Struthio camelus: one gene and its partners. Each later gene encodes a partner of the first gene's protein in a complex. Links are inferred from orthologs where the notes say so. Each region holds a gene or a part of one and is shown in the gene's direction. Other genes may lie near its edges.

Region 1 (10,615 bases):
ACTTGGCTATCCTCCAGAATATTATTACAGTTTATTAAGGCGGGCTAGATAATCTTTTCATGTCGCCAAATTCAACACATTCAAGTATATAGAAAATACCTGACTTTCAAAGGAGACTTAATTTGAGGTGTAGGAAACCTAAATATATCCTAGAATGTTTCTGCATACACCAAGGAAATGACAAATTTGTTTCTTTTCAAATTTAAAGCACCTGTCAGAATCCTAGACACAATACAAAATATTCACAAAAATCACCTTGTTAATGTAGTGTTAACAAAGGAACAAAACCTTTGAATTCTTGAAAAAGGGATAAATGAGTTCAGAATCATGTTCAGAATGCTCCAGAAGTGACCTCTTGGCAAGAGTAGGTAAGATTTCTAGAACTGAGTAAAGTGTATAAAGAATAACGTACTTTGTGACTTTTTAGCACCCACAGAGCTAATGGCACCCACTAGCACTTTCCGCAGCGTACGGTGGAAAGGATTTAAAACTTTGAGTTGAAAAACAGTCTCTTTAATCATCGGAAAAACTAGTCTGCCACTGATGCTGATGTCCAAGCGGCAGCTTTGCTCCTCTCCAGCACCACCTGTAGTCACCTATATTCTGTCAGATGTTCTGGTAATGAGCAGTGATTTCTTTTTCTTCTCTGACAAATCTGAGGGCATTTTATTGTGATTTTCTATCATGTTGGAGCAAGGTGCAATCAGTTAAAGAAAATCAAGATGAGCACAATTTGCTCCCCCTTGGTTATCTATCTCCCTGAAATTGGGATCATTTTAGAGCTGCATATACTAGCTCTTCTAAGAATGCAGCAACATGTCCTCATATTTTGTAGATGCTGTATGGATGTCGTAAGAATTGGAATTTTGCTTCTGTTTCCATTTGTTGTTACAGGATTTGGCTTTGATTCTGCAGGATAAAAGAGCTGTACATGGCATTCCTGACCTTACTTTATCCTTGCAAACTGAAAATAAACTCTATCCTTTGTTGCTTGCTATTCATCTTAAAACTGCTCTCCCTCAGGTCATCGGGCCGGCAATCCCTGTGCCATAGGCAGGACAGGGTGGCCGCATGTCCCAGAGGGCGAGGACGCGGACAAAGCGTGTGACAGCTCTCCCGCGAGCGAGGGAGGGCGAGGGAGGGGAAGCCCAGCCCGCCTCCAGCCCTCGCTCCCTGGGCTGCCTCTTTTTGGGCAGCTGGCCCCGGGGGTCTCCCATCCCTGCAGCAAGAGGTGTGGGAACGGGGCAGAGGCAGCGTGGCGGCCGCCAGCCTAGCGGCACAGCTGCAACTGCTGGTTATTGAGGACCAGCATTATGATTTTGCTTCGCCCCATGGTTTGTTGCATAGTTTGTTTGTCTGCTCTGCCTGTGCCAAAGGTCATCCTGGGCTGTCATTAGCAAAATAACAGCTTATGCCTAAGCGAGTGACAGTGTTACACCTAACAAAGTCGAGACAGCTCATTCAGAGCACGACATCTGCTGTCCAGGGTAATCAGACATTGGCCTTGCTGTTGTTTTTATAATACTGGCTGAAATAAATGTGTTGAACCTAGCTCCGGGAAACGTATGTGGTTTGAATTCTGTATTTCTCCTGTGAGTACAGCCATTGTACTGACGTGTTTTTTACGTAGCTCTCCATCCTGCTAGGCAAAGGTCCCCCACTGCTCCTCCAGGGTAGTGTAGTGATGTTCCTTATGTAACGCTATTCATATTTGTCCATCATTTAAATTGTTTGCATAACTGTTTCTGAAACTAGAATAAATTGTTGGGAAGCAGACTTATTAGCAAAACAAGATGTTTAATGTGATTCATTGCCAAAACCCTATATGAAGGCTCACCCACTGGATCACTTCCACGGTGATACAGTGAAGCTCAGCAGGCACTGGAGGCTCACTGCTGCGTATGTGCATGTGCCGCACCAAACCGCTCTCCTGATCACATTCCTCTCCCCTTCTTGTAATCTGTTGGCACGTAAGGTGTTTCCTAGCCGTGATAGTTCCTCTCTGCAAATTAAAAACGCTTACACCCAATCTTTTCTCTACTGTGACTGTTTGCTTCTTCCCATGAACCCCTTTTTGATAACAACAGTACTCAGAAATAGGAAACAACTTAGCCACCTCTTTTCATGTCACTTTAGGTACTAAAACTTTGCAGTAATGGACCTGCAGATGTTACGAAGGGGCAAGGATAACCAGGTCTAATAACAGCTCCATTTGGTATCAGCAATAACATTTATTCCGTTCATAAGGAAGATATTAATACAAATGTTTAGATAAGAAATTACTGTTCACCAAATTCAGTGCAGCAAAAAAGACCCTCTCTATACTTGATAGGAATAGTATCAATTACTTTGTACCTGTAAAAGTTAGGAATTGTATACAAGTCCACATTTCTACAAACTATCTGGAACTGCTAAGATACTCCTTCCACTGCTAGTATCTAGGTAAGATGGTTGTGAGCACTCAACAAGCAGATAACCCATCCCTCCACTGCTTCTCTAGCCAGGGGTGTCAGGGATTGTATTTCCCGTTAAGCAGCCTCTAGAGAAATCTGAATGAAACCTTGATACCCTTCTTTTATTCTGCTATGGAAGTAATATAATACAGTAAAAACTTTAAAAATAAGAAGTCCTATCATTTGTCTTACTTACTACTTTGGTTTCATGGTCTTCCTCCTCCAAAGTCAGATCATTTAGAGATACCTTTTTAGTCTTGATGTGGTAAAAAGCCTGTCTTGGCAAAGTGCAGCTGCTGAAAGCTTATACTTCTTTTTTTTTTTTCCAGTGTGCTATGTTTCCTGTGACTTTTCCCAAAAATTACAGGCTAAGAAGTTTGCTGAGACTTATGTTGATCCGTTAGGATCGTCTGTAAACAATAGGATACAGCTGTCTTCTTGATACAATTTGGGTTAATATTCTTTCTGAATATTTTAATGCATTGGAAAACAGAGATAGCACTTGAAAAACTGCTGGATAGTAACTTTACTTGAAGTAAAGTCCACTTTAAGGATTTATCCTTACATCATTAATGTCAGGGTTGAAATTCAGACTGAAATTCATCCAAGTAAATTTTGCTTATCTGAATGTTGGCATGTAGTCTAAACTAGGGGTCTACTATCACCCTGTAGTCAGCAGGGGGAGGTATGCTCCTCAGCAAACAATTTACATTCAGGAATATATAACTTAATTGCTTTGAATCTTACATGTCCCATGGATAGCATATGCTTCTCCTCTGGTTACAGAGGAAGTATAGAGAAATCAGCCAGATAATTTAGCAGAGCTAGGTCCTTAAAGTTAGGAAGAGTGACTATTTTTATTGTATTTCAGTCAGAAATAATCATTTCCGATCCTGCAAAAATATACAATGCATATTCTTTTCCAAGTTACTGCAGTAATTGAAATGTGTAGATGTTTGCAGAAGCTTTAAGCGCTTCCTCTTCCCTATGCTTTATTCATGACTTTCTCACTCCCTTTTCCTTTAGAAAAATAGTTTATAAAAAAGACATTTTCCAGGGTTTTTTTTTTCAGTGGCTTATGGGAGGGAATCTGACTCTTTCTCTTTAAAAAGGAAGGCCAGTGGTTTCCTTACAGCCTGTTGCTAGGCTGAGAGTGTTTGTGGCTGGCTGTTGTCTGTAGTCCTGGAGCTGCTGCATAAGAAAACCCAGGTAGGAAACAAATGCTTTCTTTTAGACCTCTTTAAATACCACTGTGTTTTCCTTGCTTTCATGCATGAGGCCGATTTAAGAATCCAAAATCTTCAAAATTATTTTTCACACATTTTCAAAGTAATCTTTTTTTTCAAAGAGAAGTTAGAGAAACTTCACTGTACTTCTGTTTTCAGTTTTAAGTGCTTTAGAAACAACCTCTGAGCTGAGAGAGAGCTTTATAGTTCTTACATTCAGTTGTTTATTACATTTTTAAATGCCTGCTGTAGTATTTGCTTTCAAGAAATGCTAGAAAATTGTTAAAGACAGTGGCTATACTGGTCTTCACCTATGTTGTGGCATTTTCCATTTACATGTGCCTGTAAGATAAGACTGTTTAAATCTGTTATGTAAATGCTTGATATGAAAAAGACTTCTGTGCTGAGTAATAAAAATGCTGCAGATTCTTGCAGTGCGGTATTTTCTCTGCCACGAGGATGGCATTTGATGAGACTTGCACGCAGCAAGGAAACATTCCAATTTTCAGCCATGTCCTTCTTCACACTAGTGCAACATACTTACAGAGGGAACTGGTACTGAGATGAATACAAAGGTGGTTTGGCACATAGTCACATCTGTCTAACGAAAACACTTGCTCAGGGCAAGTTCCTCACTGTGCTAGTCAGGGAAGCTGTCTGGCAACCTGAAAATCCTTTGGGCCTAGTAGCTGGTAAGTACTAATCCTTAGGCAGGAGATAATGCAATTATTTACCACCTTCCTACATCCTCCATTGGCTCCTCCTCCATTTTTTAGGCACCTCCTAAAAGATAAAGAGGAGTTTGAAGACCAGCCTTGCCTGGCCTGAAAACATTATTTGAAGTAAGAGTGAAAGAGCCTTTACATGCCCAGTACTAAAAAGGATGGAGAAACCAAGGATGACCTGTGTCGGCCTCCGTTAGCCCTCTGGCTAACGGAGAGATTCAGCCAGATATGAAAACATGTCTCATATGTCTCAATCCTGTGAGTCCTTTCATGGGAATTTTGAAATCCAGACTAAATTATGCTGCTGTGAGTCATTTTTAGATTAGTAAATCAACACTTGGATTTTGCACTAGTGCAGCTATGGTGGTGCAGGCCAAAGGCACTTCCCTGTTGATTAAAGGTAATGCAGTGCAGTACAAGAAACTGAAACAATAGTAGTAATGAATTGAGTTGTACCAATTTAACTAAAAAATTCTTCGAATGTTTGTAATCAACTACAACTTCCTGGTGTATATAAAATCATAGTAATTTGATGGATTTCAGACTTGGTAAACATGAAATGTCAAGCAAGCCCAATGCTGAGAGAGAAGAAAGGGATTGAACATGTCTCTGACATCTGAATTTCTGTGAATCTGCTCTCTGGTCAGGAGACTTTATGGACTCTGGGTGGGTTATTTATAAAAAAACATGCAACAGGTGACCTTCATATAGTGGCTCACTTTATTCACTGTTATATAGAATTATTAAATAAACTGACACATGTATTTTGAATTACTCAGTTTTCAAAAAAATAGCATTTTTTTAAACTATTAAGACTACATGTTAAATGGTACATCATTTGAGTGTTCAGGGTGCACAGGTCACATGGAATGATCAGTGTGCACACAGTAAAGTGTCTCTGACTGTAAAATAACTGCTCACAGTTTCTGTGTTTTGGTTCTGCCAGCCAGGTGTGAGCTACTGAATAGATGGACTGCAGTGAAGAATCCCGGATGATAATCATGGAGGTTAGTGTCCCCTTAGTTGAGACAAAACCGTTTTAACATCATTTCTCAGTGAGAGTGACAGGGATTTTTTGCATACGTAACTGACCTATAAGACGTTTTAGTGTTACTAAAATTACCTTATATGCTCTTGTTGTTCCCTAGCTCTGTACAGTGAGTACTAATTAACAGAGGCTTGTATAATTATTATATTTCTGGGCAAATACATTATAATCATAACCACATGGTGTGAAATATACACTTTTTATATACATTGCTATTGTTTCACATTGGTGTAACATATTGGCTGGATTAAATTATTAGTGAAATGTATTTTAAGCTCGAGTGCGTTATAAGAACAGGAGGTTACTAATCAGTAGAGCTACTTTTTTAGTTGGGCAACTGCATTTGTGTTTAAACTGTGCCTAGAGAAGCATGTTATGTCATGGCCAAACAGGTAGCTGACAGGAGGAGATGAAATGAAAAAATGCTCTAGAGATGACCTTCGGCTTTAACCCTGCTAATCCTTACTACCCTCCACACATTTGCGTAACTTCAGCCACGTGTCACGAGTTTCAGGACTGGGGCCTGCAAACGACATCAGTGAAATACAGACAGGCAAAACTGCTTAAATCGCAGCACTTGATAAGAGTAACAGATGACTTCTGTGGGCCGGGAGAGGGGCCCAGTCTGCGGCCCACAGCACAACTCCCTCTCTCTGAAAGGATTTCCTGGATGAGGACGCTGCCCAGGTTGAAAGGCTGAAGCGGACCTTGACAGCCCACAGGCACCGAAGAAGAAAACCGGTGAGGGTGTTCATTTGTTCATTTGCGACGGGCGGCTCCGCAGCGCCAGCAGCCGCCGGCCCGCCGCCGTGGGCCGCCCTCAGCGCGCCGCACGCGGCCGCGCATGCGCAAGCGGCCTCGGGCGCGGCGCACGCGCGCTCCCGCCCGCCCCCTCCGCCGCAGGCTCGGGGGACCCCCACGGGGCCGGGTCAGCGGCAGGTCGCGGCTCTCGCCGTCTTTCCCCCGCTCCCCTCACCCCCATCCTACTCATGCGTTCTCCTGCTCCGTCTCTGCCCCACTGCAGCTGCGGGAAGCTGACGGTGCCCCCGAGCTTTCGCCGCCGCCGCCGCCGCCGCCGGAAGGGAGCCGCGCCAGCATGGCGGCCGCTCCGCCGCCGCGCGGTGAGTCACCGTCCAACGGCTGCGGCGCGGCGGGAGGGGCGGGGCGGAGCGGCGGGAGGGGCCGCCGGGCGGCCGGGGCCCGCAACGGCTGTGGGCGTCCCTGCAGAGCCTGATGAGTTTGGTGGATTTGCACAGGAAAACGTTCTTCTGTATCACTGAAATACCGCTTGATTATTAAAAGTTCTTGTATAAAATAAACAGTTTCCAAAAAGGCGCGTGTGGGCACGCAGTATTGCCGTAACTGAACGTTAGCCTGTGCATAACCTGCAAAGGCAAAGCACAGCCTCTTCTGCTTTAAGTCTCGTTCATGATTATGACAGTGTATGGATTTATTGCCAGGGTATTTTACTTTGCATGTGGGAAATGGAGCATGAAATCTGTATGCAAGAGTGAGGTAGCGTGAACCTGCAGAAGGGCAGTGTCTTACTGTGCGCTTGGAGAGCGTGGAGGCTGCTGGTATTCAAAAAGTCATCCTCAGTTTCTGTGGCGGGATCTTTGTCTGCAGTGTTTCTGTGAAATACTTGAGGGAACATTAATACTGTGACTCTCACTACAAGGTTTTTATGGAATTACGTAAGTAGGACACACAAAAGTGTTAATGGAACTGCGAATTAAAAAGTCAATAAAACCAAAATTCACAACAGTATAAACATGCTCAGCTTTTCATCAATATTTTGGGGATAAGGTAATATAAAATAAGGTCATAGATCTTCCTCCTTTTATTGACAAATGATATTCGTTACAGACATCTACAGCTCAGGGATGTTTGATGTTTCCCAGTCTTTTAAAATCAGTGTAGTTATCATTTGTTCTTTTGAGTGTTTTTCTGAGTCTGATTGTGACAGTTTGTGCTAGGAAATTAGCCACTGTTGACAGATGGGAGTCCAAATAGTTTTTACAATTGATTGCATGGGGAAGTAAAGAGAAACCCTCTAGAGACAGTTGTTTTCCCTAACAGAAGCTCATTTTCTAAGAATAAACAAAACAGCACAGCAGTGCTCTGAGAAGAACATTAGCCATTAGTTCCCTTCTGTGATAAATTATTTTTTTAAGCGTTTTTCCATTACTCCTTCTTGTTGCTTCTTCTGAAATCTCTCAAATTCCGCTAACTTTGTTGCGATTGAGTGAAAAGTACTGCATATGGTTTGAATTAGACTGTGTCATTGGTTTACCTAATTGCAGTATACTTTATTATTCTAATTTTTTTTTCATGCATTTAAAATTTGTAGAAGGACTGCATCTTGAGTCACAGTCTTCACTGATCGATCTAGAACTACTTTCAGAGTTGTGGGGGGTTTTTTTCTTTCACCTGGAGCTCAATCTGATAGGTTTATAAGTAATTTAAATTATCACCTTCTATATGAATCTTTGAATATGATATCGCTAAAGTTTGTTTGCTAGTGTTTTGCCCAGTCATAAGGTAAAAATAGATGCCTTTTCAGTTCCTCACTACCTTTACTGGGCTGGTGATCTGCACGTGAATTTCTGCTTACCATTGTCTCATCAATGATAACTAACAAAAACATCCCACTATAAAAACTGCTATTTCCCAGTTGCCATTGAGAAACTCCACGTAGACAGTCCTCTGCTATTTTGTTTTGGTTTTTGTTTTAGTGTCTGCGATAATACTTTGCCTCTATTCTTGTGCCTTTTTAGTTTGTCATGGTTGTCTACATATTTGCTCATTGTTTATATTAAATTTATGCATTGTGGAAATTGTATTTTAACCCAAGTGGGAAGTGGGTGATGTTTGTGGCATTTTCAGCACATGATGTCCCCAGAATATTTGTTTTATTGTATGCCTAGCATTGTACTATCCCTTTGTCATTCTCTTCGCAGTCTGGCAATGTTTATTTTGAAACATATCCATTAACTATTTCTTCACTTAATATTCACTACAGAGTGTCTTTTTGTCAATATTAGTATTTCAAGTGTTTAATTGATCTTTACTTTTTTTAATGCAGTCCAATGGCAGAAATTTATTATTTTCCTGTAATATAATTTTGCATGTGCTTGGATCCCTAAATAATTTTCTTAAATCAAAAAAGTTTGCTGTTAGTCCACTACTTAGACGAATAAATAACAGTTGCAAATCATGTGCTGTTTTAAAGAAAAAGCCTGGCTTCTGATAGCTGTTGCCTTGTGAAGTCAGGACAGCTACTGTGTTGCAAAATCTTTATTTTTGCTCTTGCTGTTTTTTTTTTTTTTTAATTTTTTAGTTAAAGTTTTCGGAATGTCTGAGCATGCATTTCTATACAATCATTGTATCTGTGCAAAATACAGAGGTGCTTCTAGGGCTGGGGGTGGAAGTCAGGATTCCCTCTTTTCTTTCAGTCAACGCTGATGCTTTGCCACAGCATAACTTTTGGGTGCATCTGCTTTCCCTTACGCCTGGTTTCTGCATCCTGTTCAGATATGGGATTGGTAGTGTGGCATTTGGAGCAGTTCTAGGTTTCTATAGAGTCGCATAGAGCCCTGCTGATTTCAGGCTTTTCCAAGTACTGATGAAATCAATAAAAAGGCTTATTAGAAGACATTTTCAGGCTCTCAGTTCTGCCTTAATTTCGCTATCCAGCTTCCTTATTAGATCTTCCCAAAGGAAAATATGGAGCCATGGTAGGATATTTACACTACCAACATAAAAGTGCTCTAGTTAATTCTCAGCAGTTCAGGAAAGAGTTCAGGTTGTTAGAAATCCTGCTCCTGAGCCATATTCTACCAATGGTGGCACTGCTGTGCAAACTCTGCAAGGATCCTGAGCTGTTATTACTTGTTGGGAGGTTTTTTTCTGTGTTTCCTTTTTTTTTTTTTTAAAGGCCCAAACTGGAAATTCCTAACTGTTCTTCCTCTCTCCTGTTCTCTATGTACAGCAGCATGCTGGAAGCCTCCCTTCATCTGTTCTTCCTGCACAGGGATATGTGACTGTTGTGCATGTTTTATTTGTGCGTTTTAAACCACACATACAGTTCCATCTCAAAAGGCTGGGAGGAAGCAGCAACAGTGTTTCTGAAGTTTCTTAACTTTAAGAACTTGCATTAGCTATTCTTTGTGCTTTACTGCAGGCACTTTCTTTTACGTTTATTTCTAATAGATTTAAAATGTAGCTTGGTACAGCGCGTCGTGGAAAATTTATATTTAGCAATTTTTGTATATTTCATTTAAATTAAATTGGATAGCTAAGTATTTATTGAAAAACAGATTTCTTTCAAATCATTTATCTTTTAAACCTGTGCCTTTTAAAAAGGCTTGATATGAGAGATGCTGTCATCCTCTTTAGTAGAAATTCCCTTGCTCTTAAACTTTTATACTCTATTATGAGTTAAATCTACAGGATTAGTTTCCATAAACACCCACATTATCTGAATTTTCTACTTGTGTGTTTAATGGTAGTATTTATAGACAATTACTAAAAATATTTTGATTTACGAATGCAGGAAGCTTTGTCAATAGTTTATCTTTTCTGTTATTAGATAGTTAGGTTAGAGTGATTATTGTAAAATTAATAAGAAAATACCCTTAGGCTGGTATTTTACATTCTAGACTTTAGTTCAAGGAATATTGAACTGAATGATACACCCTTTTCTGATACAGCTGTTGACAGGCCTGAAATGGTTATCCTGTGAAGTAATGCTCTTGTGGATAGCAATCTTTAACTACCACTTTATAAATATATTTTGAAGCTACGCACAAATTACTTGGCTATAGAGTCCTTTCACATCAACAGAACAAAATTATATATGCAGAGAAAAAAGCAGCATTGCATAGACTAGAAGTCAAAAAGAATCATGATGAATATTGAACTTTTTTTCTGCTATACCAAAATCCCTCCAAATTCAGTCGTTCAGGAAGTGTGACTTATGTGAGACATCTGGCAGTTATTGCCACAGATTATGTATTATTCCATCAATGAAATTACTAATGCAAGTTTTAAAAAGCATTACATTGAGACAAGTGCCTGAAAGCATGTGCTCACTGTGGATTTTGATAAGCAAGTAACAGTTTATTAATAAAATTCTGTATAAATGTGGTTTTCCAGTGACTT
Region 2 (10,615 bases), on another chromosome or scaffold:
ACCAGAATGCAGTTTATTTCAGCCTTATTTGACTTTGTTTTGATTCTACCTAAAAATGCCTGTCTACTTGAATTTTTAAAGTCATCTGTCATGGAACAAAACCAACATTTCGTTTGAAAAGATGAAACTAAAGACGCAGCAGCAACATCAATTAGGAAACTAATGTGAAAAGGACATTACTAGGCCTCTCCACTTGGAAGAATCTTGAGAAGATTCAGTCAGATCCCCACCCGAGGGTACTAGGACCTCCCAAATCTTAGCTTTTTGTGAAATCCTGGGAGAGCTGATTTATTTTGTATATCAGTTTCTCCATCAGCTCCTTTAGGACCTCATCCAAGTCATCCAGCTTCTCTATAAAATACGACCTATTGTAGTTTAATGGTGACTGACTTTTGGTCAGTGTTAAAGTTGTTTTGAATGGTATCAAACTGAAAATACATATTCAGATCAAATAATGCACATACAAAACTGTTCCTCTTAGGATTTTCTTCTGTCTAATTTTAAAAATTTAAAGTAACAGAAATGATACCCCTTCTGAGGGAAGCTCTTTCACAATAGTAGCTCTAACTATTGAGCATCTTTTATTGCTAAAAACCTCCTAACACGAAAACCTGTCTGAGGTCAGCTAAAAGTCTTGTATGCGATGCGTTCAGAAGAAACACTTCACCAAAATGCTACAGATCATACAACAGCGGGAACAGCAGACATTCAGCCAACAAACAGCTTGATTAATTTATGAAGACCAGGCTGATTAAGCTAATCCTGCTCCGAGTTAGTTTAAACGCCCCAAATAAATTTAAACTGTCAAAACTGTCATCAAAAGGATGTCTGTCCATGAGCAGAACTTCTTTCATTGCCCTGCTGCAGAGAAACACGTTGACTTTGCCAGTTTGCTCACGAAGACTTGCATGTTAGTAACTTCATTCAGACTAGATATTGGTGCACTGTTCTGAAAACTGTCATATCTTTTGTCCCGAGGAACAGCAATAATTTCTTTAAAATTATTTTATGTTTAAATATTTTAAGGGGAAGGGTTATGGTGAAAGTTACATAGAAAAAAATAATCTTACTGATTTACTAAAATAAGCTTGGATAGAAAAACTGAAATGTAAGCAGTGCTTTTTGCTTAATCTTAGTGTTCTATTAAAGACATTGGGTTGCAAATGCCACACTATTATGTTTAAATGCACATCAAAATCTTGTTCCTTAAAATGTAACTGCAGTAACAATACAGTAAGTCCTTTAAAATGCTTTTAATAGACAGCAATCTACTGGGCCTTAAATTTTCATTTTTATAGGACCTCCTATATGAGGATCACAGTGTCCTGTTAATTATTAACTAACTCATGTTGATAGGATAAATTAAAAGCTCTGTGATGGAGAACATGTCTTATTTATTAATGTCCTGACCTTGTCCTACACGTTGCAGAGCTTGCGCTTTGGAACCTACTTCTCAAGACTAACACAGGTTTTTCTGTGGTGGTGAGATTTTTCAACTGTTTTCTCTTATAGTTGGTTTTTGTCTAGCCTTTCTTTTCTGTATGACAAAGTTTTGTTTTTCTATTGCCATTTTCTTTGTATCTGTTTCTGCATGGACCTAATTTACTGCATTCTGTTAATATGTAGATATCTCCAGAAAAGCTTCATGACTTTAATAAACTATTACATTTCATAATTTAGAAATTCAGAGTTACTCACTTAACAAAGCAATAATAAAGAGGAAACTGAAGCGACATCAGCACCTACGCTTGCCCTATTTTTTTTTTTTTTATTTAAATTATGGCCAGTATCGGAGATGGGGTTAGGTGAAATGTTGGTCTGACTGAGTAAACCCTTACTTCTGAAAAAACTGTCATGAAAGAACCTGATTCATTACGCTATACTTTGATATTGAACACTTTCCCATTTGCTCTATTCTATTTCAATGGTAGATGTGGTGAGAAATGGTATCTTCTTACTTATTCAGCTTCTGCGCACATGCGGTCAGAGTCCAATCTGTGCTTGGCACCAACTCACAGACTTCAGCACAGCCTGGGTTTCATCTAGGATCCTGTTCTGCTGTGTGCCATCAGCTTTGCAAGTCATTCCAGATGAAAAAAAATGTGTTAAATTCCATTGTCTCTTGCGCATTATCAACAGAGCAGAGCTCTTCACTGATTTCAAATCCATTAGAAATGTGTAAATTAACAAGCAGGGGTGCTGTGCTTCAATATTAATTATCTCATCTGATGGCAGTGCAGTTGCACAAGAGAAACAGAAGACAGTATATGACCTGTGATGATACTCAAAGAGGAAAACCATAAATTAAGCACCACTCTCCCTCCAAGCCCACAGACTAAATTCTAAGACACAAATTTTGCAGCAGGACTTATAGGTAGGAAAGACCTCTTCATTCTTGTTAATTGACCACATGTGGTAAATGGGAACTGATTAGTCAAGGAAATTCAAGGAATTGTAAACCCCCAAGTCAGCATTGTCCAGGGAGAGGTTTGATCTCAAACACATGACAGCGGAGGAGAGAGCAGCCACATGGTAGAAGGTTCCTTTCTACAGGAATGCCTCTCTCAGCTGGGACAACAAGCACCACAGCAATTAGAAAAACTTCAAAAATCTATTTTACTTTCCCCTCAAGCAAATGGGTGTGGAAGCTTCACAACAGTGACAGCAGAAAAGAGCTTCACTCTCCTTTCAGCAGGCAGGAAACCAAGCCTCCTTTACAGAGGAGGCCTAAGGCCTCCTTCTTCAAGCTGTAAGACTTCTAACTCTGGCTAGCTGAGAATAGGTCCTCAGTTGACATCTATTATCTATGCCTATCTGCTGTACTAAGCAGGGTCAAATACCTGTTTTTTTTTTTTTTTTTTTTTTTTTTTTAAGGAGACCATGTAACCTTCCCTTCCCTCCCACCCCCTGCACATAGTCTCCACTGTGGCTGCAGCCAGTCCTGGCACAGCCTAAATGAGAAGCAAAAAAGTACTCCTGCAATGCCATTTTTATATACACTCCCTTTCTAAAACAGAACTGTAGGTGAAGTCACTGCTATTCTTCAAGCCTGAAAAAGGAAAAAAAAAAAAAAAAAACCCCACCCCAAAACCCAGTAACATAATTTTGGAGACCTTGTTGAAGGGAAACACATGAATGTTTCCAGCTGAATCAAACTAAGGTAATCTCAGAATCAGCAAAGAAACAAACTACATCAGTTCTCCTGCTTCTAGGAAGGAGGCAAATACAGTAACTTTAGGTTATACTTGTTTTAACAGAAGGATTGTAGAATGGCGACTCAGGTCAGACAGTTATTGCATATAAGGTACCCTGAGATTTTAGGTCCAATGGAGTACACCAGATTCTCACCTTCATGTCACCACGTCCTTAGTGCACTGATGACTTTCCAAGAGGAAGGATGACTCGATGCCAACTGATATGGAGCTATTTCAAAGCCATCCTCGTAACTGGCAGTTGTTACCAGCTGTGCTATGTGATACAATCAAAATGACCTTGGTAGCCCTGTACCTTGTGCGGCAGACAATAGCCTGTCTCTCATAATTCAGCAACACTTTTGTCAATAATTGGCTTTTGTACAGTCCCAGTGGAGCAGCAGAAACCTCAGCAGGCTAAAGAGATTAATTAACTCACCTCATCTCCTCTTCAGATGTGGTCGGTCCAGGCCAGGCATGACACACTCGGGCAGAGGACAGAAATGGCAAAGATGCTGTATGCGCTGTGGAATTATTTCAGTTTTCAATAGAAGAACCTGGAACCTCTCCAGCACACTAAATTTGCATGCAAACATGAAGTTAACCTGTTCAGGTGTTGTGACTGGCACTGAGAGCGGTCAAATACGTTAAATGCAAAACAGAACACGCCCTCTTGTGGTCCCGAAGCTTTCAGTGGCTTCCCTTCAAGATGATAGGAACGAGCCTAAAAAGAAAAATAAGAAACTCTGTAATGATGCACTGTGCGCTTTGATGCGGGAGCAAACATTGCAAAGCCGCTTTAGATCAGATAATGCAAAAGACAAATCTCAGAAAGTTTAACTTTAAAAAGCGCACGTTGATTCCTGCTTAGACCCAAGGCCTGGATGCTAATATTTGTGAGCTAACTCTAAGGAACCCTGATCATTTAGTCACTCTGTAGCTCAATTTCCCCAACTATCAAGTTGGTATAAAAATGCTTGTATATACTGCAGAGGTACTATCAAGATAAATGAATATGTGCATATGAATATGAATGAATATGCGCATTAAAGACCAAAAGAACCTGCAGCTTTTTCAAAAGAAAAAAACCCAAGATGAATACTTTTAAAATTACAGTTTAAGAAACACAGAATTATTTTTTAAAAAGTTGCATAAACATACAAATTGTAAGATTTTATACCTCACAAGGGGGGGGGGGCCCTCTTTTTTTTTTTTTTTTTGCATATGGTTTTCCAGTAGTGCCCAGCCTCCCTGTGCGGAGCGAGATCTCGCAGGGCGCACGGGGGCAGCGGCGGTGGCTCTGTCAGGCCAGGGTCGGGGCTGGGGTCAGCCTCCCCTCACGGCCCGCCACAGCACCCAGGGTGCGCCGGCCTGTCCCGTGGGGCCTGGGGCAGCCCCCCTCCCACGGCGCCCGGGGGCTCGGGCCTGGCCTCTCTCCCGTGATGCCCCGGGGCCTGGCCTCTCTCCCGTGATGCCCCGGGCTCCAGGTTGGCCTCTCTCCCCTATGATGCTCCAGGGATCCCTCCCATGATGCCCCGGGGCTGCGGGCGGGTTTTCCCGTCCCTCCCGTGATGCTCCGCGCTCCCCTAGCAACCGCGCGGATGGCGGGGGGGAGGAGCGGTGCCCGCCCGTTGCTAGGGGCGGCCATGGCGGCGCTGCGGCTCGCGTTCCTCCTCCTCCTCCTCCTCCTCCTGGCGCAGCCCCGCGGCCCCCTGCCCCGCGCTGGCGCGGTGGCTCCCGCGGCGCCCCCGCAGCCCCCCACTGCTGCCCGCAGGCCGGCCCCGGTGACGGACGGTGGGTGCCCGGGCCGGGCGGGGGCTGGGCGGCTCCCCCGGGCCGGGCCGGCCCCAGGCCTGCGGGGAGACCCTGCGTGCGCGTGGGGCTGGGCATGGCCCGCCCGAGCCCCTCATTCGGCCCTGGACCCTATAGATAATATTCTGTCACAGCTGTGCCCTCGGCAAGCCTTTCCCGCTTCTTCCAGTCAGCGGATAGGTTCAGCTTTTGATTTCCCAGTGTTGCCTCCCTCCGTTCCGTTTCGCTAGATCACCTGCGGAATTAAACGCGTCCTAGCGTGTGCCTCCTTAGGGAAGGGAGGCTTAAACCCCTGCTGTGTTTAAACTTACCTTGTTTACAACAAGGTGAGCAGAAGACTCCAATCCTAAATTCAGCTGACAGAACAGTCAGAACTTCAGAAATTCCAAGAACTGGCTGGATACGGTTCATGGTGGGCAGAGAGCTTCTGGAGGGCCACAGGGAAGTGTGTTAACAGTCAAACTGAAAGGAAAGAAGTGGTAGTTACGAGGTTAAATATTCATTCGTGTCCGGCCTATGCAGTGCTGATCTTCATTTTCTACATTTTATGCTGCCCTTAAATCTAGATTAATACAGAACAGCCACTTTCAAAACCAGTTAAGTAAATTAATATCTGTTCTCTGAATTTGTAAACCTGGGAACAGAAGAATATTTTAAGAAGCTGCTAAATTTATATTGTCAAGACAGTTCACCATATTGCTGGTGATTACTTCCTTATTATTGCAATATTCACAGTATCCGAAGACACAGAGAAAAAGCAACTGTAAAGAAATTAACTCTAGTTATATTGCAACATCAGGGAAACATTACTGTATCCTGGGACACGTCTGATACTTCTAAACTTCTCATTGCTGTAGGATAACCCTTCTCTCCTTTCATCTTCCCCCCCATCCCCCCCAGCTGAAACAAACCTAGCGTTGCTCCATTATTTGTATCTTTTTTCTCAGCAGTACTACATAACGTTTTAATACCTTCAGCATTCCTATTAACTCCAATTGCTTTTTTGATTTCACAGGGAACACAGGATCAGATTTATAGTATGCCTTGGAAAAGATAACTTTTTAAAATGACTTGTTAAAAAAAAAAAAGTGAATTTGGATGTAGACTTTTGACCATTGTCAAAATTAGGCAAGGTGAAAAATTAAAGTGTTTGAGTACATATTGTAATGTGTTTAGATTTGATTCTAACACTAATTTAAATCTTTTTCTCCAGTTGCCAAGCTGTGTGTTTGTGATCTGTTGGTGGCGCAGTGTGATGTAAATTGCTGCTGTGACCCTGACTGCAGTGCAGCAGATTTCAGTCTCTTTACTACATGTTCAGTTCCTATTGTCACGTAAGTGAATAAATGGTTTTCTGAAATACAAACTCCTGTCCTGTTTGCTGCGTGCATTTGTAAGGGCTCTATCCTGTCCTCTTACAAATCCCTAACCCATCCATCCTGACTACCTTTTCAGCAGTCCCTCCTGCATTAGGCATGCAGTCCTTCCTTCCCCAGCAGGTAGGAGAAAAGCAAATTGGCACCTGACTCCAGTTTCTCATTCCCTGTTTTCCAGACCTGTGCTCCTTGCTTTTCCCCATTCCACTGTCCTACTGTACGTGGGCATTAGCTTCTTTAGAGGGAAGAATAATGTATCTTTAGACTTTTATCAATATAACACAGTGTCTGGAAGCTAAGAAAGCTGGTACCATGGGACAATTTGACCATGTGGGTCATCAGCAATTTATCAGTAACCTCTTTCATTGGTGTTTATTGCATCAGATAGAAACATGATTGATTCAGGTCTGTAGTGAAATACTCGGAGAATCACTCTGGTATTAATTTTATGAGCAAGTACGCAACTTGCTGTCTCACTGCCATTGTCACTTCACAAACAAAGTAAAATGTAACATAACTATCAGCATTATGTTCTTGATTATTGTTTCTTTGCTACTTACAGTCTATCTGAAAATACATTTACCCAGATTTCATCTTCTCAAGTAGAAGCTAAAGTTAATTTCAGAATCTTAATGTAAAAATCTCTTGGTGACTTCTCAGAACAATAAGTATAGCTCTTCAACCTACCTTCTGCATAAATTATGCCAATCTGGAAACTGGAGTTTATTCTCAGTGCTTTGAAATTTCAATTAGCAGTCATCCTCTACTGCCATTCCTTATTGTTCTTGCACACAATGACTACTGCTCCCCATTTATAGGTATTTATATATATCAGAAAGGTCTAATCAACACCTTCCTGAATGACAGTTTAATTATCTCAGGTGACTAGTCTGTCTTTGCCAACTAGAAATGCAGAAAATCAAGTTGTATCTTTTTTCCTAAATTCTTTCCTGTAAGATTTTCATTTTGCATGAAAATCCATGGTATTTTCAATGACTACAAGTGTTCTGGATCTCATTATTTACTTATAGATTTATATACATTTGAATAATTGTAATGGTTACTAACGGGGTTTTGACCACAAGTTAGAGGTTATGTGGTCTGTAAAATGCAGAAAACGGGGGTGTTTTATTTAGGATATGATCCTATTAAGAAATGGTTCACCTCCTGAAAAAGTTTAGCTCCATGCATAAGAAGTTGTTCCTAAAACTCATTTTGCTTTATCACTTTCTATCCCTGACTGTTTTAACTCGCTCTGCCATAAGCACCAGTTTGCCAGGAATCAACATGCTAGAAATACATGAAGGTGAAGGCACTGGTACAGCCACATTGGATCGTTATTTCATCTCCCGGTTTCTCACCTTGTCCTTTCTTATACATGCATCTGAAGTAGGTCACTGTGTCTTTTTACAGAGGTAAATATTATTCCAATGTCCATGAAACTTACTTTTTTTGGCCTACTTAACAACATGTTACCTTAAAGGTCATCCTTCCCACCTCTCTTGTATAAGTAAGAGTGCTTCCAAGCTGTCCAGCCTGTGGTGCATCCTGTGTTTGTGGTGTTTCACACCATCTGAATCCCATCCAACTTGCCATCTTAACTCTAGTATTATTCTTCTGAGGTTCTTCCCTTCACCACTGGCTATGTCTTACCTTATTTCATGTTGCTTTTTGTGCAGTTTCCTCTGCTAGATAAAAAAATGTCTTAGATGTTTCTTTATTATTTGTTACTAAGCACACAGTAACAAGTGATACAAGCCTTTGAAGGATACAGGATTACTATATAAACTGTGTTTAAAAAAGAGTAACTCTGTTAGTACTTTTCTGATGCTATCTCAACACATGAAGATAACTTTAAAATGAAATGGTTAATACTAAATTCTAGTGGATCATTGATTTTGCTATTATTATTCACAGAGGTGACAGCCATCTTTGCAGTCAGAAAGCTGCTATATATTCACTTGATGTTGAAGCAAATCCACCAGAAAGGATATTTAAATTAATTGACCAAATCAATCCTAATGTTTTCTGCATTCATGCTACGAACTGTAAGTAGAGCTATTGCCAATACTAAGCATTGCACTATTATTTTTGTGAGCCCTTTAGGTATCAAAAAGGCAGATTAAAATTAAAAGTAACTAAACCTGTCTGAAAACTGATTATTCTGTATGCTCACAGGCTGTATGTTGTAATCCTTTCACTCGTGAAATTGTGGAGTCCAAACGTCTCAGATACTCTTCTTAGTCTTCTCTGTGGAAGGAATGCTGTTGGCTTTGACTAGGCTTACTTAAAAAAAAATAAAAATAAAAAAAACGTTTTCCTTTCCATTGGCAACTTTAGAGATAAAAGTGACATTTTTCTCAAAAAAAGGAACCTTTTTTGGTTAAGAATTTTACCAAAGTGGAGAAGTGATGAGTGCTCTATTCTCTTAATTTAATTAAGACAGTGCAGTATTTATCTGAATGCTTAGCATGGAAATTGTACTACTTAGCAGGTCTTTGTTTTGGAACATACAATGCTGTTAGAAACCAAGATTTTAAAAGAAAGAGGCTTACCTCTTTCCTTAGGTTTAAGTATGTATTTTCATGAATCAGGGTGAAATCATAAACTGAGATACCACCCAGCTTTTCTCCTGAATGTTCATCCTTCTTTGGTATTTTCCTGTCATTGTTTTTTAACTCAAAACAAAATTATTTCTAAATACTGCTTCTGTATCTTGTATCCTAAATGTTATCTCATTCTTTAAAATGTTTTGACAGATAAGCAAGCACTCTCCTTCATTTCCCCTGAAGTGCCTACTTCTGAAAATTTTGATCAATTGCTTAAACAGTTTGGAAGTGCTACTTTCAGTACTGAATTTGATAGCTGGAGTATAAACACAGATTCTCAAAATCCTTCTGATGCAAATGAAACCTACAGATATGAGGTAAACAATGGTTTCATTCAATCAGTATTATATTGTTCGATCTCAGAGCAAGCGAGCATTCTTTGCATCTGCTTGTAAGAAGCTGCAGGTTTTCCTCAAACAGAGGAACTTTATTTTGGTCTTTAAATATAAAAATATCAGAGTGAAATGCAACATTTTATGTTAGCCAGCTTCAGAAGTGAGTTACGTTAACATCTGTGAAAAATAAGTAGCTGTTTTATTACTGTAAACATGAAGAAAGCTGTCAGCTATGGCTTAAGAATTGATGTGCATAGAAGTAGACAATATTGAGAAATGTAGTGTAAATAAAGACCTCTGTTGTTCAGATTTGTTGTTAATGAAAATACTCCAAAGCTTTCCATGAACTGAAATGCACCTATGTGCTTGAATATGTCCTTTTATTTGGCAGTATGGTGTTCCTATACAGACAGCAGATGCATTTCTGAGACTGCCTAGTCCTGTTGTCTCCTCGTGGTGCTCTGATGCTAATCCTGCAGGTTGGAAAATGCATTTTCAAAGGCATTATTTGGGTTAGAATATTCTCCTGTTATTCCTGACTTGAGTTTAATCAGTCAGTAAAATAGCATGCACACCAACTAAATTCAGATAAAGCTTCATGAACAAATGTTTTTCGAAGAACTTCCGTTTCTGTGAGTTTCTTTGGATATAGACTGGAAGCTGTGTTGCATCTCGGTTAAACATGCAGTTTTAAATACGTAAGTTCTGGTGAGTATTGTTAATAGGTTGTTTATCCCACTAAAACGTACTGTTTGTCATAATTGGTTTAATAAAGTAATACGAGGGTGATACCATGAGGGAAAATATTATTGCACAAAAGCAAAACCCAGCTGGGCAGCCTTTGTAAGACGTCCCTTTGGTACAACGTGGTTCCTTTCACAGCCTGAATGCAGCTCAAGTCAGAGTTGCAGGCTTAGGCCTACATTTTAACCTTTCACGCAGTTTCCTAAAAATCTGCAGAGAAAAAGAGAAGACTGCATCTTCCCAAATTCTCTGTTATTATTGAACATGGTATAATAACGATCATCATGATGAGCATAGGAAAACTGAAATCTCTTGTAAAAGAAACTCTTGCGAGATTTCTAAAACGCAATCACAAATCTTCCTGTAGCTGGTATTAAAACTTCTGTTTTTAGGAAGTTGCTAATGTTTTGCCTCATTGCATTTCTGGAGAATCTAAGAACATATCATGCTTTATACCACACACAAAACCTTATCTGCAATAGAAGTTACAATTACTTTCAGTTTTGTATTTAATTGATGTTCTTATGTTGTTTTTGTTTCTGTTTTTC
Region 3 (10,615 bases), on another chromosome or scaffold:
GCGTCGCCTGCGCCCTGCGGCCCGACGGCCGCCTCGTCCTCGACCCCACGGCGCGCCAGGAGCGGGTGAGCGGGTCCCCCCCCCGTCCCCCCCCACCCCGGGGGGCCGCGGTCCCCCCCCCCGGCTCAGCCCCGCTGCCCCTCGCCCCGCAGGAGGCCCGCGCCGTGCTCACCTTCGCCATCGCCAGCCCCGACGGCCGCCTCCTGGCCGCCGCCACCACCAAGGGCGCCTGCTCCCCCCAGGAGGTCAGCGCCCCCCCCCCCCCCCCCCGTCCCGGCTTTCGGGGCGAATCGCCGCGGGTTTGGGTCGCTCCGGGCAGCGAGGGGTTTCCTGCGGGTTCCCGGCCTGTCGGTTCCCCCCCCCCCCCAAAACACACACGCACTGGGGGTTGTGACCCCCGTCCTGCCCCGGGGGGCGGCCCCCCCCCCGTGTCCCCCCCCCATGCTGTGGGGCAGCCCCCCCCAATGCTGTGGGGCAGCCCCCCCCATGTCCCGTTCCCCCCCCCATGCCATGGGGCAGCCCCCCACCATGTCCCGTTCCCCCCCACCACCATTGGGCGGCCATCTGCGTCATGTTCCCCCCCCCCATGCCGTGGGGCAGCCCCCCCCCCGTCCCGTTCCCCCTCCCGCCATGGGGCGGCCCCCTGTGTCCTGCCCCCCCCCCCATGAGGAACCCCCCCCCCGTCGGGTGGCCCCTGTCCCCCCCTCCCACCATGGGGCAGCCCCCATGTTCCACCCCCCCCCGCCGTGGGGAAGCCCCCCCCCCATGTCCTGTTCCCCCCCTGCGGGTGAGGTGGCCCCCCCGTGCCCCCCCCACCATGGGGTGGCCCCCCTGTGCCCCCCGCCACCATGGGGCAGCCCCCCCCATGGGTGAGGTGGCCCCCCCGTGCCCCCCCCCCCGCCGTGGGGCGGCCCCCCACGCCCCGCGCCCCCTCCGCAGCTGCAGCAGAGCCTCGCCGCCGCCCAGCGCGCCGCCGCCGCCATCTTCCAGTTCTACCGCGACTGCCTGCGCCGCAAGTACTCCAAGTGGTGACGCGCCGGACGCCGGGGCCCCCGACCCCCCCGCACCCATCCGGACTCCCCCCCGCACCCCCCTCCGCCGTCGGGGGCATTAAACAGGCCGCCCCGACCTGCTGCCGCCTCTCACTGCCGCCGCCCTGGGGGGGCCGAGCCCCGTCCCCCCTCCAGCCCTGCGTGCAGCCCCCCCCCCCACCCGGGGTAATTACCAGGGGGTAATTAGGGGCCTAATTGCTGCCACCTTGGCCCCCAGCTGTGCCCCCCTCCCCAGGCAGAGCGGGTGCGTTGGGGTCCTCGGCTGAGGCCGGGCGAGCTCGTGTCACCTCCCGGGAGGGGAAGGTGGGGGAGCCCGGGTGTGGGGTGCTCCCAATGTGGGGGGGGCTCTGGGCGTGGGGTGCCCCCAATGTGGGGGGCTGAGGGGGTTCCGGGTATGTGGGGTGCCCCATTTCAGGAGCCTGGGCAGGGGACAGTGGGACCCTGCACGCAGGACACGTGTGGGGACACGTGGCTATGGGGGGTGTGCGGGGCACGTGTGGGGACACGCTTGGAGACACGCGTGTCTGTGCCTGCAGGGACATGTGGGTGCGCTTGGGCAGGGTCAGGGGCCATGTCGGGCCACGTTGACCCATGTTGAGTTGCGTCAGGCCGTATCAGGCCATGCTGACCCGTGTCAAGCCGTGTCAGGCTATGCTGAGCCATGTCAAGCCATATTGGGCCACGTTGACCCATGTCGAGCTGCATCAGGCCATATCAGGCCATGTTGAGCCATGTTGACCCATGTCAAGCCATGTCAGGCCATGTCGAGCCATGTTGACCCATGTCAAGCTGCGTCAGGCCATGTCGAGCCATGTTGACCCATGTCAAGCTGTGTCAGGCCATGTCGAGCCATGTTGACCCATGTCAAGCTGTGTCAGGCCATGTCGAGCCATGTGGACCCACGTCAAGCCGTGTCAGTCTATGCTGAGCCATGTTGACCCATGTCAAGCCGCGTGAGGCTATGCTGAACAGTGTTGACCCATGTCAAGCCGTGTCAGGCCATGTCGAGCCATGTTGACCCACGTCAAGCCGTGTCAGTCTATGCTGAGCCATGTTGACCCATGTCAAGCCGCGTGAGGCTATGCTGAACCGTGTTGACCCATGTCAAGCCGTGTCAGGCCATGTCGAGCCATGTTGACCCATGTCAAGCTGTGTCAGGCCATGTCGAGCCATGTGGACCCACGTCAAGCCGTGTCAGTCTATGCTGAACCATGTTGACCCATGTCAAGCCGCGTGAGGCTATGCTGAACCGTGTTGACCCATGTCAAGCCGTGTCAGGCCAGGTCGAGCCATGTGGACCCACGTCAAGCCGTGTCAGTCTATGCTGAGCCATGTTGACCCATGTCAAGCCGCGTGAGGCTATGCTGAACCGTGTTGACCCATGTCAAGCCGTGTCAGGCCATGTCGAGCCATGTTGACCCACGTCAAGCCGTGTCAGGCTATGCTGAGCCATGTTGACCCATGTCAAGCCGCGTGAGGCTATGCTGAACCGTGTTGACCCATGTCAAGCTGTGTCAGGCTATGCTGAACCATGTTGACCCATGTCAAGCCGTGTCAGGCCATGTCGAGCCATGTTGACCCATGTCAAGCCGTGTCAGGCCATGTCGAGCCACATGGACCCATGTCAAGCCGTGTCAGGCCATGTCGAGCCACGTGGACCCATGTCAAGCCGTGTCAGGCTATGCTGAACCATGTTGACCCATGTCAAGCCGTGTCAGGCCATGTCGAGCCATGTTGACCCATGTCAAGCTGTGTCAGGCCACGTTGAGCCATGCTGACCCGTGTCAGGCCATGTTGACCCATGTCGAGCCATGTTGACCCACGTCGGGCCACGTCCAACCAGGCCCCCAAGATGGCGGCCCCCACAGCGCGGCAGCGCCAAGATGGCGGCGCCCTCCGCCGTACAGGCGCAAACATGGCGGCCCCGCCCTGCGCCACTACCGAGATGGCCGCCTCCTTATTCCCTCTCGCCCCAAGTTGGCGGCCCCCATTCCCCCAGGGCTCTGCCGCTGCCAAGGTGGCGCCGGCAGCCGCCTCCCCGGGCCGCGGCACCCGGCACCGGGAGGCCGGTCCGGTCCTTCGCGCTCCTGCGGGCCGAGATGGCCCCGCTCGGGGACCGGCGGAGGCGGCGCGACCTTCCCAAGATGGCGGCGGGGGGTGGAGCCGCGCTCTGCCCGCCGCCAGCCAGGGCGGGGCTGGCCACGCCCCCTCCCCTCCTGCCGCGGCCAATCAGGCGCCGGCGTTGCGCAGGCTGGCGGCGTTGCCGTGGCAACAGCAGCCGGAAGTGCGTGTGAGCGGCGGCGGGGAGCGCGCGGCGGCGGCGGCGGCGCGAGGAGCCCCCGGGGCGGCGGTGGGTGGGGGCGCAGCGCGCATGCGCGGGGCGGGGGGTTGCACACGAGTGTGCAAGGGGGGGCGGGGGGTGCGAACACCTGGGCTGGGCGTGCACCGGGGTGGTGGGTGTGCACCGCGGTTGTGCGTGCACGAGGGTGGTGGGTGTGCACGAGGGTGGTGGTTGTGCACCGGGGTTGTGCGTGCACGAGGGTTGTGGTTGTGCACGAGGGTGGTGGGTGTGCACCGGGGTTGTGCGTGCACGAGGGTGGTGGGTGTGCACGAGGGTGGTGGTTGTGCACCGGGGTTGTGCGTGCACGAGGGTGGTGGTTGTGCACGAGGGTGGTGGGTGTGCACCGGGGTTGTGCGTGCACGAGGGTTGTGCATGCACGAGGGTGGTGGTTGTGCACGAGGGTGGTGGGTGTGCACCGGGGTTGTGCGTGCACGAGGGTTGTGCATGCACGAGGGTGGTGGTTGTGCACGAGGGTGGTGGGTGTGCACCGCGGTTGTGCATGCACGAGGGTGGTGGGTGTGCACCGGGGTTGTGCGCGCACGAGGGTGGTGGGTGTGCACGAGGGTGGTGGGTGTGCACCGCGGTTGTGCATGCACGAGGGTGGTGGGTGTGCACGAGGGTGGTGGGTGTGCACCGCGGTTGTGCATGCACGAGGGTGGTGGGTGTGCACCGGGGTTGTGCGCGCACGAGGGCGCTGTGTGTGCGGCAGGACCGCGTGTGCAGCGGCGCCCGGGGCGGCCATGGCGGAGGTGCACGTCATCGGGCAGATCGTGGGGGCCAGCGGCTTCGCCGACGGCGGCCTCTTCTGCAAGTGGGGCGTCCACGCCGGTAGGGCAGGCGCACACGCGTGTCGGAGCGTGCACACGCGGCTGGGAGCATGCACGTACACGGAGGCTGCCCCGTACACGCGTGTGGGAGCATGCACATGTACCGGGCCTGCGTGCACACGCGTGTGGCAGTGCACAGATGCGGGTGGGAGCGTGCACACGCGGGCAGAGGCGGGCACGCGCGTGTGGGAGCATGCAGAGGCTGGCAGCAGCACGCAGCCGTGTGCGGGAGCGGGCACACGTGTGTGCAGGAGCGGGCACACGTGGGCAGAGGGGGGCGCGCGCGGGCGGGAGGGCGCACACGCGTGTGCGAGGCGGGCGGGAGGGCGCACACGCGTGTGCGAGGCGGGCGGGAGGGCGCATGCGCGTGTGCGAGGCGGGCCGGCGTGCCGCAGGTGGAGGCGGGAGGGCGCACACGCGTGTGCGAGGCGGGCGGGAGGGTGCACGCGCGTGTGCGAGGCGGGCCGGCGTGCCGCAGGCGGAGGCGGGCGGGTGCACGCGCGTGTGCGAGGCGGGCGGGAGGGCGCACGCGCGTGTGCGAGGCGGGCCGGCGTGCCGCAGGCGGAGGCGGGCGGGTGCACACGCGTGTGCGAGGCGGGCGGGAGGGTGCACGCGCGTGTGCGAGGCGGGCCGGCGTGCCGCAGGCGGCGCGTGGCGGCTGCTGGCCGGCCGCCGCCAGGGCCAGACGCAGCTGGACGAGCCGCAGCCGGGCGCCGCCGCCTACTGGAGCCACCCCATCGACCTGCACTTCGCCACCCGCGGCCTGCAAGGTGCCCCCGCGCCCCCCGTGCACGCGCGTGACCCCCCGTGCACACACGTGATCCCCCGTGCACAATCCCCATGCACACGCGTGTCCCCCCGTGCACACGCGCGTCCCCCCGTGCACATGTGCATGATCCCCCCGTGCACACGCGTGTCCCCCGTGCTCAGGCGTGTCCCCCCATGCACACGTGTGTCCCCCCATGCATGATCCCCCGTGCACATGCGCGTCCCCCCGTGCACACGCGTGATCCCCCCGTGCACAGGCGTGTCCTCCCGTGCACACGCGTGTCCCCCTGTGCACACACGCGTCCCCCCGTGCACATCCGTGTCCCCCCATGCATGATCCCCCGTGCACAGGCGTGTCCCCCCGTGCACATGTGCATGATCCCCCCGTGCACACGCGTGATCCCCCCGTGCACAGGCGTGTCCTCCCGTGCGCATGCGTGTCCCCCTGTGCACACACGCGTCCCCCCGTGCACATCCGTGTCCCCCCATGCATGATCCCCCGTGCACAGGCGTGTCCCCCCGTGCACACGTGTGTCCTCCCGTGCACATGTGCATGATCCCCCCGTGCACACGCGTGTCCCCCCGTGCTCAGGCATGTCCCCCCATGCATGATCCCCCGTGCACAGGCGTGTCCCCCCGTGCACATCCGTGTCCCCCCGTGCACATGTGCATGATCCCCCCGTGCACACGCGTGATCCCCCCATGCACAGGCGTGTCCTCCCGTGCACACCCGTGTCCCCCCGTGCACACGCACGTCCCCCCGTGCACATCCGTGTCCCCCCATGCATGATCCCCCGTGCACAGGCGTGTCCCCCCGTGCACACGCGCGTCCCCCCGTGCACGCGCGGCCCCCGGGCTGACGGCGGCGGTGCGGGTGACACCCCCCCCCCCCGCGCCAGGGTGGCCCCGGCTGCACCTGCAGGTTTGGCACCGCGACGCCTTCGGGCGCGCCGCCCTGGCCGGCTACGGCTTCTGCGCGGTGCCGGCGCGGGCCGGCTGGCACGGCCTGGCCTGCGGCACGTGGCGCCCGCGCGGGGGCCCCCGCCAGCGCCTGGCCCGCCGCCTCCTGGGGGGGGGCGCCCAGCTGCGCGGCCCCGACCTGGTGCTGGGCGCCGCCGAGCGCTTCCGCCTGCGCACCGAGGCCGCCGGCACCGTCCACCTCCAGCTGGCCGTGCTGCTGCGCCACTTCGCCCGCTACGGCGTCCAGAGCTAGGGCCCCGCTGCGCCCGGACGCCTGGGCCCCGCTGCGCCCGCACGCCTGGGCCCCGCTGCGCCCGGACGCCTGGGCCCCGCTGCGCCCGCACGCCTGGGCCCCCGCTGCGCCCGCACGCCTGGGCCCCCGCTGCGCCCGCACGCCTGGGCCCCCGCGCCCGCACGCCTGGGCCCCGCTGCGCCCGCACGCCTGGGCCCCCGCGCCCGGACACCTGGGCCCCGCTGCGCCCGCACGCCTGGGCCCCCGCGCCCGGACACCTGGGCCCCGCTGCACCCGGACGCCTGGGCCCCCGCGCCCGCACGCCTGGGCCCCGCTGCGCCCGCACGCCTGGGCCCCGCTGCGCCTGCACGCCTGGGCCCCCGCGCCTGGAGGCCTGGGCCCCCGCGCCCGGACGCCTGGGCCCCGCTGCGCCCGCACGCCTGGGCCCCCGCGCCCGGACGCCTGGGCCCCGCTGCGCCCAGACGCCTGGGCCCCGCTGCGCGCGCACGCCTGGGCCCCGCTGCACCCAGACGCCTGGGCCCCGCTGCGCCCGGATGCCTGGGCCCCGCTGCGCCCGCACGCCTGGGCCCCCGCGCCCAGACGCCTGGGCCCCCGTGCCCGGACGCCTGGGCCCCGCTGCGCCCGGACGCCTGGGCCCCGCTGTGCCCGCACGCCTGGGCCCCGCTGCACCCAGACGCCTGGGCCCCCGCGCCCGGACCCCGCTGCGCCCGCACGCCTGGGCCCCCGCGCCCGCACGCCTGGGCCCCGCTGCACCCGGACGCCTGGGCCCCGCTGCGCCCGGACACCTGGGCCCCCCAGGACCATGCGCTGGGCACCAGGACGCCTGGGCCCCCCACGGGCCAGGCCGCCCGGGCCCCCCAGGGAAGGACACTGCGCACCAGGACACCTGGGCCGAGGATGCCAGGACCCACCAGCGCTGCCTGCAGGGCCAGGACGCCGGGGCCCCCCGGGAGCAGGACGCCGGGGTCCCTCAGGCACAGCCCGCCAGGGACCCACCAGTGCTGCCCCCAGGCCCCGGACGCCTGGGCCCCCCCAATAAAGCGGGTTTTACTGCGCAGCCCCCGTTTCGCTGAGCTCTCGCGGCCCGGCGGGGGGGGGGCCGGACGCCTGGGCCCTTCCCGGGGTCCCGCGGCCGCCAGGGGGCGCCCGTGTCGCGCGGGTGCGGCGGCCCGGACGCCTGGGTCCCCTCCGCCGGGGGAGGGGGGGTGGGGGGTCCCGGACGCCTGGGTCCTCTTTAGCGGGGTCGGTCCCGGACGCCTGGGCCCTCTCTGCTGGGGGGAGGGTCCCGGACGCCTGGGTCCCTGCGTCGGTCGTGCTGGGGCGGGCGAGGGTTTGGGGCGGGGGGGGGGGGGGCGTTCCGGACGGCTGGATCCTTTCCGCTATCGGAGGGGGCCGGTCCCGGACGCCTGGGCCCTTTCCGGTAGTGGGGAGGGCTGTCCCGGACGCCTGGGCCCTTTCTAGCGGGGCCGGTGCCGGACGCTTGGGCCCCTTCGCGCTGCTGAGGGAGCCGGTGCCGGACGCCTGGGCCCCCCGCCGCCCCTTCGCCGCCGCGCCCCCTCCCCTCCAGCGGTGCCGGACGCCTGGGCCCCCTCCCCTCCAGCGGTGCCGGACGCCTGGGCCCCCCCCTCCCCACCTCGCTGCGGGACGCCTGGGCCCCTCGCGGTTCTGCGGGGGGGGCTGCGGCGGCGCCTGGGCCCCTCGGCCTGTCCCCCCCCCCATCGCGGCGGGGCCGTGACTCAGTTTCCCCGCGGCGGCCCGGAAGGGGGGGGCGGCCGGTGGCTTCCTGGGAGGGGCCGCGGCCCGGTTAAAGCGCGGCGGCTCGGGCTCGGCTCGGCTGGGCTCGGGCGGCGGCGGCGGGCGCGGCCCATGGAGCTGGCGGCGCTGCTGGCGCTGCTGGGGGCGGCGCAGGCGCTGCTGGGGGCGGCGCGGGCGCTCTCCACCTGCCGCACGCTCGACCTGGAGCTGGCGCGGCGCAAGCGGATCGAGGCGATCCGCGGGCAGATCCTGAGCAAGCTGCGCCTGGCGGCGCCGCCCGCCGACGCGCCGGCGCGGCCGCTGCCCGAGGAGGTGGCGGCGCTTTACAACAGCAGCCGCGAGGCGCTGCGCGAGCGGGCGCGGCTCCGCCAGGCCGCGCCGCCGCCGCCCGACGACTACTACGCGCTGGAGCTGCACCGCTTCCCGGCCGAGCGCGGCCCCGGGCAGGGTGAGGGCCGGGCGCCTGGGCCCCGCTGAGGGGGGGGGGGGTCCCGGACGCCTGGGCCCCGCTGGGGTTGGAGGGTCCCGGACGCCTGGGCCCCGCTTCGGGGGGTGGGAGGGGGCCGGACGCCTGGGCCCCGCTGAGGGGGGGGGGGGTCCCGGACGCCTGGGCCCCGCTGGGGTTGGAGGGTCCCGGACGCCTGGGCCCCGCTTCGGGGGGTGGGAGGGTCCCGGACGCCTGGGCCCCGCTTCGGGGGGGGGGGTCCCGGACGCCTGGGCCCCGCTGAGGGGGGGGGGTCCCGGACGCCTGGGCCCCGCTGAGGGGGGGGGGTGTTGGAGGGTCCCGGACGCCTGGGCCCCGCTGGGGTGGGAGGGGGCCGGACGCCTGGGCCCCGCTTCGGGGGGTGGGAGGGGGCCGGGCGCCTGGGCCCCGCTGAGGTGGGAGGGGGCCGGGCACCTGGGCCCCGCTTCGGGGGGGGGCGTTGGAGGGTCCCGGACGCCTGGGCCCCACTGGGGTTGGAGGCTCCCGGACGCCTGGGCCCCGCTTCGGGGGGGGGGTGGGAGGGGGTCGGGCACCTGGGCCCCGCTGGGGTGGGAGGGTCCCGGACGCCTGGGCCCCAATTCGGGGGGGGGGGTTAGAGGGTCCCGGACACCTGGGCCCCGTTTCAGGGGGGGGTTAGAGGGTCCCGGACGCCTGGGCCCCGCTGGGGTGGGAGGGTCCCAGACGCCTGGGCCCTGCTAGGGTTGGAGGGTCCCGGACGCCTGGGCCCCGCTGGGGTGGGAGGGTCCCGGGGTGGGAGGGTCCCGGACACCTGGGCCCCGCTGGGGTTGGAGGCTCCCGGACGCCTGGGCCCTGTTTCGGGGGGGGGGGTCCCGGACGCCTGGGCCCTGCTGGGGTGGGAGGGTCCCAGACGCCTGGGCCCTGCTAGGGTTGGAGGGTCCCGGACGCCTGGGCCCCGCTGGGGTGGGAGGGTCCCGGGGTGGGAGGGTCCCGGACACCTGGGCCCCGCTGGGGTTGGAGGCTCCCGGACGCCTGGGCCCTGTTTCGGGGGGGGGGGGTCCCGGACGCCTGGGCCCTGCTGGGGTGGGAGGGGGCCGGACGCCTGGGCCCCACTTTGGGGGGGGGGGAGTGCTGGATGCCTGGGCCCCGCTTCGGGGGGGGTTGGGGGGTCGGAGGGTGCCGGATGCCTGGGCCCCACTTGGGGCAGGTGTGAAGGTTCCCGGACACCTGGGCCCCGCTACACTGGCGGAGCGGAGGGTGCCGGACGCCTGGGCCCCGCTGGGGTTGGAGGATCCCAGACGCCTGGGCCCCTTGGTGCGGGGAGGGTTGGAGGGTCCCGGATGCCTGGGCCCTGCTTGGGGGGGTGGGGGGTCCCGGATGCCTGGGCCCCTTGGTGGGAGGAGAGCCGCGCCGCTTCCTGGCTGAGCGGAGCCTGGGGCAGAGCGAGTCCCGGGCGCCTGGGCCCCGCTGGGGTGGGGGTAGGGGGTCCCGGGCGCCTGGGCCCCGCTGGGGTGGGGGTAGGGGGTCCCGGATGCCTGGGCCCCGCTGGGGTGGGGGTAGGGGGTCCCGGGTGCCTGGGCCCCGCTGGGGTGGGGGTAGGGGGTCCCGGGTGCCTGGGCCCTGCTTGGGGGAGGGGGAACGCCTGGGCCCCTCGGGGGTGGGAGCTGCACCGCTTCTTGGCCAAGCAGAGCCCGGGTGAGAGTGCGTCCCGGACGCCTGGGCCCCGCTGGGGGTGGCAGGTCCCGGACGCCTGGGCCCCTGGGGGGGAACTGCATCGCTACCCAGGTGAGGGTGAACTTGGGGGGGGGGGGGACGCCTGGGTCCCTCTTGGAGTGGGGGCAGTCGGACGCCTGGGTCCCTGCGCCCGGACGCCTGGGTCCCCCTCGGGACGGGGCCGCCCACGCGCCGGGGTTCCCCTCGGGCTGCCCAGGCGCCCGGCTTCCTCGTGCGCAGGTGCCGGGGTTCCCCGTCCCCGGACGCCTGGGTCCCCCTGGGGGCAGGGGCGCCTGGACGCCTGGGCCCGCCTCGGCCGGCTCCCGGCGGGCCTCGGGCGGGGGCAGGGCGCCGGACGCCTGGGCCCCGGCGCCCCTCCTGGCCGCGGTGGCGCGGGGGGGAAGCGCTGCCCGGACGCGCCGGACGCTGCGGTTTGCTGAGTAATCGCCTGCTCTGAGGCGGCTTTGTTGGGCCGTCGCGTGGCGCGGGGGGCCGGGCCGGCCG

What was found.
Region 2: CC2D2A (region 1) and TCTN1 share a complex: the UniProt entries of both Homo sapiens proteins name them as parts of the tectonic-like complex. The link is inferred for Struthio camelus from reciprocal best matches to the Homo sapiens genes CC2D2A and TCTN1.
Region 3: CC2D2A (region 1) and B9D2 share a complex: the UniProt entries of both Homo sapiens proteins name them as parts of the tectonic-like complex. The link is inferred for Struthio camelus from reciprocal best matches to the Homo sapiens genes CC2D2A and B9D2.

The regions. Positions count from the first base shown.
Region 1 is NC_090945.1:70,660,473-70,671,087, reverse strand, and holds the start of CC2D2A (coiled-coil and C2 domain-containing protein 2A), read left to right. Parts: upstream 1-3,586; 5' UTR 3,587-3,662; intron 3,663-5,350; 5' UTR 5,351-5,372; coding exon 5,373-5,411; intron 5,412-5,926; exon of another isoform or gene 5,927-6,112; coding exon 6,113-6,193; intron 6,194-6,302; exon of another isoform or gene 6,303-6,476; coding exon 6,477-6,573; exon of another isoform or gene 6,574-6,590; intron 6,591-10,615. UniProt on the Homo sapiens protein: Component of the tectonic-like complex, a complex localized at the transition zone of primary cilia and acting as a barrier that prevents diffusion of transmembrane proteins between the cilia and plasma membranes.
Region 2 is NC_090958.1:18,032,426-18,043,040, forward strand, and holds the start of TCTN1 (tectonic-1), read left to right. Parts: upstream 1-4,750; 5' UTR 4,751-4,762; coding exon 4,763-4,985; intron 4,986-5,314; exon of another isoform or gene 5,315-5,453; intron 5,454-6,216; coding exon 6,217-6,337; intron 6,338-8,296; coding exon 8,297-8,427; intron 8,428-9,138; coding exon 9,139-9,305; intron 9,306-9,714; coding exon 9,715-9,802; intron 9,803-10,615. UniProt on the Homo sapiens protein: Component of the tectonic-like complex, a complex localized at the transition zone of primary cilia and acting as a barrier that prevents diffusion of transmembrane proteins between the cilia and plasma membranes.
Region 3 is NC_090957.1:700,008-710,622, reverse strand, and holds B9D2 (B9 domain-containing protein 2), read left to right. Parts: upstream 1-3,962; 5' UTR 3,963-3,983; coding exon 3,984-4,221; intron 4,222-4,864; coding exon 4,865-4,990; intron 4,991-5,887; coding exon 5,888-6,201; 3' UTR 6,202-6,322; downstream 6,323-10,615. Other genes in the region: EXOSC5 (exosome complex component RRP46), read left to right, coding at 1-65, 153-245, 940-1,032; TGFB1 (transforming growth factor beta-1 proprotein), read left to right, coding at 8,068-8,404. UniProt on the Homo sapiens protein: Component of the tectonic-like complex, a complex localized at the transition zone of primary cilia and acting as a barrier that prevents diffusion of transmembrane proteins between the cilia and plasma membranes.